Nothobranchius furzeri: one gene and its partner. The protein of the gene in region 1 interacts with the protein of each later gene in a biochemical or structural test. Links are inferred from orthologs where the notes say so. Each region holds a gene or a part of one and is shown in the gene's direction. Other genes may lie near its edges.

The links.
Region 2: the proteins of siah2l (region 1) and egln3 form a complex in vitro, tested with the Homo sapiens proteins (2 studies listed by BioGRID). The link is inferred for Nothobranchius furzeri from reciprocal best matches to the Homo sapiens genes SIAH2 and EGLN3.

What each region holds. Positions count from the first base shown.
Region 1 is NC_091750.1:26,734,155-26,738,230, forward strand, and holds the start of siah2l (E3 ubiquitin-protein ligase Siah2), read left to right. Parts: upstream 1-1,201; 5' UTR 1,202-1,432; coding exon 1,433-1,819; intron 1,820-4,076. UniProt on the Homo sapiens protein: E3 ubiquitin-protein ligase that mediates ubiquitination and subsequent proteasomal degradation of target proteins.
Region 2 is NC_091758.1:7,726,536-7,730,667, reverse strand, and holds the start of egln3 (prolyl hydroxylase EGLN3), read left to right. Parts: upstream 1-1,268; 5' UTR 1,269-1,382; coding exon 1,383-1,742; intron 1,743-3,917; coding exon 3,918-4,037; intron 4,038-4,132. UniProt on the Homo sapiens protein: Prolyl hydroxylase that mediates hydroxylation of proline residues in target proteins, such as PKM, TELO2, ATF4 and HIF1A. Target proteins are preferentially recognized via a LXXLAP motif.

The sequences.
Region 1 (4,076 bases):
GCTGCTTCCTGCTGATTGGCTTAGCGTCATGTCACTCTGGGTACATCCAACCAATAGCTGCGCGTTAAATACAATCCAAAACAGCAGCCCCCATGTTGTGTGAGCAGCGCTGGATACGTCATTTGGAATCGTAGGATGTCTAAGGAAGATCCCGCCTTTCTGGCCTTTGATTGGCTAGAAGGACTCTACCACAATTGGCTATGGGCAGTCTGTCCTGCCGCCAACAGAACAGCTGTTTTGGCGAGTTTTGTAAAGAAATGTCAACTTAGCACCATTCTGTCTAGTTTTGTAAAATATTGTTTTATGTTTCTTTTATTTAAAATACTGAAAAACGTAAAATGTGAACTTATTTGTCACACTGTTGACTCCTTTTATACCTCTCGGCTCTCAAGCATTGAGAGGATCTTATTAAAATCAGAGTACACAGGATAAACACGTGAGCCTTACCTGGTAGGAAGCATAATAAAACTGCCCTATGTGGCCCAGCTGTGTGCAGCAGGTCTGTCTCTCCTCTGGAATAATGAAAACAGCTTAAAAAAAGGTCTAAATCATGATCAGCTTTCAACTAAACAGATGAGCAATGTGCTTAACTTGTAAACAGTGTGATAAAATGCAATAGGTTGTATTACAAGCTCACATTTAACGTGTTTCCGGTTCCTTTAATCGGAACTTGGACTGATGCAAAAGAGGACAGAATGGTTATTATAGCGCTAAGCTGACGAAGGCCATGATTGAGTTGAACAGCGCCTCGCCTGGAAAACAGACGGGAGACGACGGAAGCAGCAGGGGGAGCGGCTGAAAGCCGGTGTTTAAGTGAGACACAATTTCCTACATGTGTAGCTCACGGGTGACGATGGCTGAAGATATCGCGTTAGCGTTCACGCTTGTTTAATTTTCCATTTTAATTGTGGTGCCTGTTAGCAGCTGAAACACATCCTCACGTGCTTGTGGATATCATATATTGTATATGGAGATCTGAGTGTAATAATAAGTAAAGGTTATCAGCTGTAGGTTTAGTGTGTTCATAGGAAACGTGGCAGAAGAACACAAAACACATTCCTCTTTATGGCCTATATAGTTGTCATCATCATCGTTACATGATTTACAGAATACATGTGACCAACTAACATTTCATGTTCTACCACCGGATGTTTGGATCAAAATGTGAACCAATCAGATCTTAGATCAGGTGAGAGCCAGGCTTTATCTTGAACACAGCCAATTTCTTTATGAATGGCTGCTCTAGATCTGGCGGCAAACTAGGCGGAATCGCAGGAGAGCACTTTCAGCCAATCAGAGGCAAGACAGGCGGGACCTTCCTTGGACGTTCTACGTTTCCAAATGTCTCACCCCGGAGGGACGTCCGGTTGTAAATAGTAAATGACAGTACCACCTGCTCGGCCGCACAACAACCGGACCACAGCTGGAAGCTATGAGCCGTCCGTCGTCTGCCGGAGGCGGAGGACTCGGAGCCGGCAAAGCAGGCGGAGGAAAGCACGGAGGCCCGGGAGGAGCAGCCTCAGCCGCCGCTGCAGCGGCAGCCGTCGCCGGTGTGGGGACTATAGCCGGGTCGGGCTCTGTGTCGCTGCCCTCCGCCGTCCTTCCCGGGCAGCCCCCGGAGCTCACGGCGCTGTTCGAGTGTCCGGTGTGCTTCGACTACGTGCTGCCGCCCATCCTGCAGTGCCAGGCGGGGCACCTGGTCTGTAACCCGTGCCGCCAGAAGCTGAGCTGCTGCCCGACCTGCCGCGTTCCGCTGAGCCCGAGCATCCGGAACCTGGCCATGGAGAAGGTGGCCTCCACACTACCGTTCCCCTGCAAGGTAACCGACACCGGGACACACACTCACGCCGCTTCCCTCTGTGCGCGTGTGTCAGGTGACGTCATTTGGAATTATCCAACAGACGCAAAACCAACCGGGCTGGACTTCGTTAAAGAGACACCAGCTGTTTGTCTCGTGCCAACAAACGCACGGCTTTTCTTTGATCAGGAAACACTCAGAAGTTGCAGATGTAGAATGATGGAGGAGCCGGTGGGGGTAAAGACGTTTGGTCACGTGGTAAACAGCTGATACAGGTTAACGAATATTTCTGAGGTTAAAACGTCACCTCCAAATCCCCTCAGACTTAATCATCTGGGGTGATTTAAGACAACCTTAAATCATACATCTGATAGATTTCCTCCAAAAACAAACTCTCATAGATATTATTTATTCTACTTTATTCTATTTTTAATTATATTATTCATGTTATATGTACCACGTTAGTACCGAAGCAAGTTCCTATAGTTTGTGAATTGTTTGTTCACTGACAATGGCAATAAACCTTTTCTGATTCTGATATTAGCAAAATGCACGTTTAATGGGCAGGGCCGGCTCTAGGTAATTTGGTGCCCAAGGCGAGACTACCCATGTGCGCCCCCCCCCCCCCCCCCCAAGTAACTTACTCACCTGGTTCTAGATGCTGAGATTGTAGCTCAGTAAATGTGCTGCTGCGTGATGCCTGGATAGAAGACGCTGCAGCGTAAACAAGAAAGAGACGCCATAAGATGTCATGCTGCGTTTAGGCAGTTCTCACTCCCCGTCGGGCCCGGCGGCAGCGGGGGAGCCCCCACCACGGCCGCGGCGGTGCCGCCCGCCCGATGTGAAGGACAAAGTTGAAATTCATATTGTATGCGTGCTTAAAACTTGAAACAAAGTTCATAAAAAGGCTGCAATCATACTCCAAAAACCAGTAAAAAAATCTTACATTCTTCATCATCTTCACAGTGAGGCTCAACAGGTGTAGAAGACAGTCCCAGCCCCCGTGGTGTCAACAGGTGCCTGTCGACAGGCTGCAGATATTGTCTCATTGCATCTGGACACGACGATTCAAAAGTAAAATTAACTGGTTAAAGTTATGAGATACTGTATTGTGTATGTAAACAGCTAGCAAGGGTCCGTCCATGGACCGTGCGTGGCAGGAGAGGCAGTTAGCTACAATGGTAACGCAAAAAGTTCCTTTGCCAAATGTATAAAGTGTACATGCCTCTGCTTTGGGCCCGTCTTTTTTTCTTCCTCCTTCCTTCGCTTTCGGAATGCTGATCCCGATGGCTTAGGTGTTCTTTTCATCATAAAATATATCAAAAGTTTAAACGCGGCGACAACAGGGTGTCCTACAGTGCTGCCCACGCGCGTGATCTACGGCACCCTTAACGGTCAAATGCATCGGAGCGGTGGCCCGAGCGGGAGCTCGTCATGCAGCCAGATCATTAGAATTTAAATATTGATGTTTTAATTTTATGTCATTTCAGAGGGGAATTTTGAGTATGTAGAGAGTGCATTTCATATTACAAACATAAATTTAATAAACTTTTTTTATTCATTTATTTTTTTAATTTTGCGCCCTATCCATCAGATGGCGCCCCAGGCGGCCGCCTGTGTCGCCTGTCGGCAAAGCCGGCCCTGTTAATGGGCTCGACACACGGGAGGCGACAAACGACCGCGATCAGCGAAATTCGTCGCTGTCGCTTTTATTACCTGACACACGGGAGGCGACCCGCGGCAGCGGCAAAGCCGTCTACGCGTTCTGTTCCATGGCGAAATCGAAACTTCCGTTGTTTTGTTTGGCTGGTTCAGGTTGGAGGGAATTAAGGTTATTTAAGCGGTTCAGAGTTAATAAAGCGGTAGATATGATGTTTCACAAGGTGCTGCTAGAGTTATGTGAAATTTTACTTGTGATTTTACTATAAAACATAATAATAATCAACTTCTCCTCCATGTTAGCTCGGAGATGTGCGGAGCATCCTGTCCGCTCATTGGTCAGTGAATGAAACCTCCGTTGATTGGTCCTCGCCCGAGTGACAGTGACGGAAAGTTGAAAATGTTTCAACTTTCTGGGATCGCGTCGCTGGGTCGCCTGTGCACGACACGTGCACGAGCGCAAAATTTCACACGCACGTTTTTCGCGTTTCGCTTGGTAGGAGGGAGACCCGCGATGATCGTTTTGACGCGTATGTCTCATTGAAAATGAAAGGAGGAGAGGCGATGTCGCCTCCCGTGTGTCGAGCCCATAAGAGTTGATCTGACAGATTTATGGAAA
Region 2 (4,132 bases), on another chromosome or scaffold:
AAATTCACCCCTCTGGATTTATAACTTTATGTTGTAAACAGCGTTTCACTTTACACCAAAGCTGATTGTTAAAAAGTCCGGATCCCTACCAACTTCTGTTGCTGGTGGTGTTACCGGGTTGAGCTGCTGCTCTCACACCGGAATGAGAAGATCTCTGAATGGCGACACTCATATAAATAAGTAATGTCATTTTAACACACGTAATCATACATCGGAGCTTTAATATTGTTAATAATTGTCTCACTTTACACTACAGTGGACGGAGTGCAGCCTCTGTGGTGAAATACCCGTCCATCAGGATTATCAATAACTTTTATAAACACATCACATTTATCCCTGTCCCTGTCTTCCTCGAGAAATAAAAGAACCTTAATCTTACCCGGTAAAAACATGTTCGCTGCAAATCTTAGGCCTGCTAGTCTGCTTGATTGATCGCTGCAGTTCATCTCTGTCCTCACTGTCCATCAAAGTTATTTAAAAAAAAGAGTTGAGTTTACATCCGTGTCTCTTAGTGCAGCCAACCACACAGCAAGTTAAAACCATTTTCCTGTCAAATCAACTAAATAAAAGTGATAAAAGGCTACAAACTGGCTTGTTTTGGCTAGCTTTGCTGGCGTTTCAACGGGTGTAAATGGTCTTTTTGCCGTCCATTATGGCGAAGGGGGCGGTCACATGAGTGGCGCGCAAAGGGTCAATAGCATGTAGAGATAGTTTGAAAAACAACCGTAGGTCCTGCCCTATGACTGAGCTCCATCTATGGGTCGTGGCCAGACTATTTAATGTATATGATAACTTGCCAGGGTAGGCATCCCTCTGGAAGCCTAAATCAAAGTCAGAAGGTTTCAAAATGAAAATAAAACCAAGAACATTTTGTGGAAATCCTCTGGTTGGAGATTCACTTTCTTAAAAAAATATTTGACTTCAAATTACCTTCTGATGAGCAGTCGTTTAACTTTAGTGCTTAAACAAATTTATTAAAGGACCTAGTATTTCTTTTAAATAATGAATCCATAAATAGTTACTATTTTTCTGAACCCGAACAACAGACTACCTGTTTCCACCGATTCTTACAGAGAATGTTTGCCTACATTGTTGTGACATTTGCATTTAGAACATACCATTTTAAGTATTGTATTGTAATTGTGTGAGGTAAATTTTAAAGCACCGTTTAATATAAGAATTATTTAGCAAATTGGATAACCTTGTCATTTTTAAATACGTGTGATTTATTTTGGAAATCCTTAGCGGAAGTGGTATGTGTACAGTTTTCCAGCTGGACAGCTTATGAACCCAAACACTAGCACGTCCGCTCAACTGTTCCGCAGAGAGCGGGCACGTCTTGGTCTGAGTCCTCTCGTTCCGGCTGAGCTTTAGCGGTCACCATGCCTTTTATCGAGCATATGTCCAACGCGGACCTGGAGCGGCTGGCGCTGGACCGGGTCGTGCCGGCCCTGCTGACCCACGGCTTCTGCTACGTGGACGGACTCCTCGGGGAGCCGGCCGGGAGCGCGGTGCTGGACCAGGTGAAGGAGATGCACCGTTCCGGGGAGCTGCAGGACGGCCGTCTGGCCGGCACCGTCCCGGGCATCAACAGGAAGAGCATCCGCGGGGATAAGATCGCGTGGGTGAGCGGCACCGAGCGGGGATGCGAGGCGATCAGCTTCCTGCTCGCCCTGGTGGATCGGCTCATCTCCGTGTGCGCCAGCCGCCTGGGTAATAAAGCCATCCGAGAGAGGTCCCAGGTAAGAGCTCCACCTGGATAAACTCCATGGAAACATTCCCGTCATTCCTGAAACCTAATCCAAAATATGTCTCACTGGGAGAACTTCAGCTTTCTCTTTTATCTTGTCACACCTGTAAGCTGTCCATACCTCAGGCTGGAGTAGAGCATGTGTTGATCATAATGAATTACCAAAAAACTACTCTACATAAACTTTTAACCAATCAGGAAATGTGTATTTTCATGGAATAAAATGTTTAATCCCAAGCTGTTCTTGACTTTTCCTGGTCTGTAAGTGTGTTGGACAGCCTCCACTCGTGTTTGTAAACAGCCCACACCTTTAGTCACATTTAACTTCCTTTCATTTTAATGTAACTGCGGCACCATCATCCTTTTGACAAAATCTGATTAAAAAATCTACATTTTGGTTTATTTTCTGATGCTTAGTTGTTGTTTTTTTAGCCTTTTGGAGAAAAAATTCATTACTTTTTCAAGTTTACTTTTCCCAAAGCGTTTCTCGGAGTCTAAAAATAACAACAATGGTAGAATTCAAATGAATGAACTAGTTTTACTTGTTTATGACATTAAAAAAAACGTTTTGACAGAAGAAAACTACACAATCTCGACTCTTAAAGACACTGGAACCAGGTTTCATTGATATTATGTGATCGATGGCCCCACCACCAACCAATTTTTAAACATTTTCAAAATGCTTTTTTCCCCTTATTTTTACAATTTTTATATATTTTGTTTTTGTGAAGCGCCTCGTGATTTTTATCTTGAGAGTCGCTATAGAAATGATATTTTCTTCTTCTTCTTCTTCACCATTTTTAATTTATAAATTAGGATTAAAAAAAGATAAAGAAATAAAGTTTGTGATTAAAACGAAGGCTTGGTGCGTTTAAAACCTGGAAGAATGCACTTTCAGGTGAGAAAGCTCGATTCTTCCTGTTGCTGTGGGATTGGGATTATATCCCAAAATTATACAGTTTATAAAAGGCATTCCTCTGAGGGTGTGTGTAATCTGTAATAATCTGGGTCAGGTTCACTTGAGAACGTGTCAACAGACTGTTCGTGACGGTTTTTTCCTGCGAGGAAACCCCAAGCCGTGCCATCTGATAAGCATCTGCTGCCCTCAGCTCAGCGGACACTTCCTGTTTAGGTGTGGAGTTGACAGCTAAGCAGTGAAAATGGGTTTCCTCCTCCTCATCCACTCACTTGTTATTGTAGACGACCCGGACGTAGCTCACAGGACCTCCAAGGATAATGGAACATAAAATGGCCCACGCACAGTCAAACCTGAGCCAGCATGTGTGCTGTTTGAGTCATGCAACCGAGGTCGTAGCCTTTTAACCGCAGGATACACCTCTGGTGATATTCACAGATCCTACTTCCTGTCAGCTGGGCTGACATCATTTATTTTACCCCAAATGTGGGTTTTACTGGACTTGTGTGTTGGGCGACAGGTACTGCACCTAAACGGGATAGCTGCTGATACAAAGATGGTCAACATTACGAGGAATTCTTTTACTGATCTGGAATTATCTTGGACCGTTTTGTAATTTCTGAGTGTTTTATACGGAGGTTTTAATCCCGTCTCACCTGAACAACTCTAAAACGAGTTTTGTTGCTGGCGGTGCCACTTCCTGCCTCTAAAGCTGAGCTTTGAGGGAACTTATTTCCCGATTTTTCTGGTAATCACTCCTGAAGTCAGCTGAGGTATATTTGAGAACCCCATCAGCAGACTAGTTTAGAGCCTTCGGGGTTCTCAGCTACGTGTGCAGGTTTGAGACTCTTATTGTGAAGGTTTGCAGGAAGTTTTGTGAACACTGCAAGCCTTCACCGTGTGATTGGTAAATCGAGCTGCTAATCATAAGTAACTTGGTTCAAAACAAACCCAGAACCCTTTGAGACACAAATGATAATCGTGACAAACGCCGTCAGAGGCGTTTGGCTAGTGCTAGCTTAGGTTTCTGATCATTAAAGGTTTTTTGTATCAACATATTATTACATATTACATTTAAGTACAAAAGCATTACAATGCCATTTAGTTTAGCTTAGCCCAGAAGGCGTCGTGAGCGCAGATGACCATACCACCCCAGGCAGCTTGGTTCTCACGCATTCAGAACGTTTGTCTCTAGCTGAAGGACACAGCCGTCTGGTCTGATGCACCTTCTCCCTGTGTGTTTACCTTTAGGCCATGGTGGCGTGTTACCCAGGAAACGGAGCAGGTTACGTCAAACACGTGGACAACCCGAACTGTGACGGACGCTGCCTCACCTGCATCTACTACCTCAACAAGAACTGGGACCCCAAGGTACAGCTCACACCTCTGCCGCTGCGATGGCTGATTGTTGCAAGCATTACGTTACAAGCATTTCCCCACACGTCACATATTGTGTAAAAGCAACG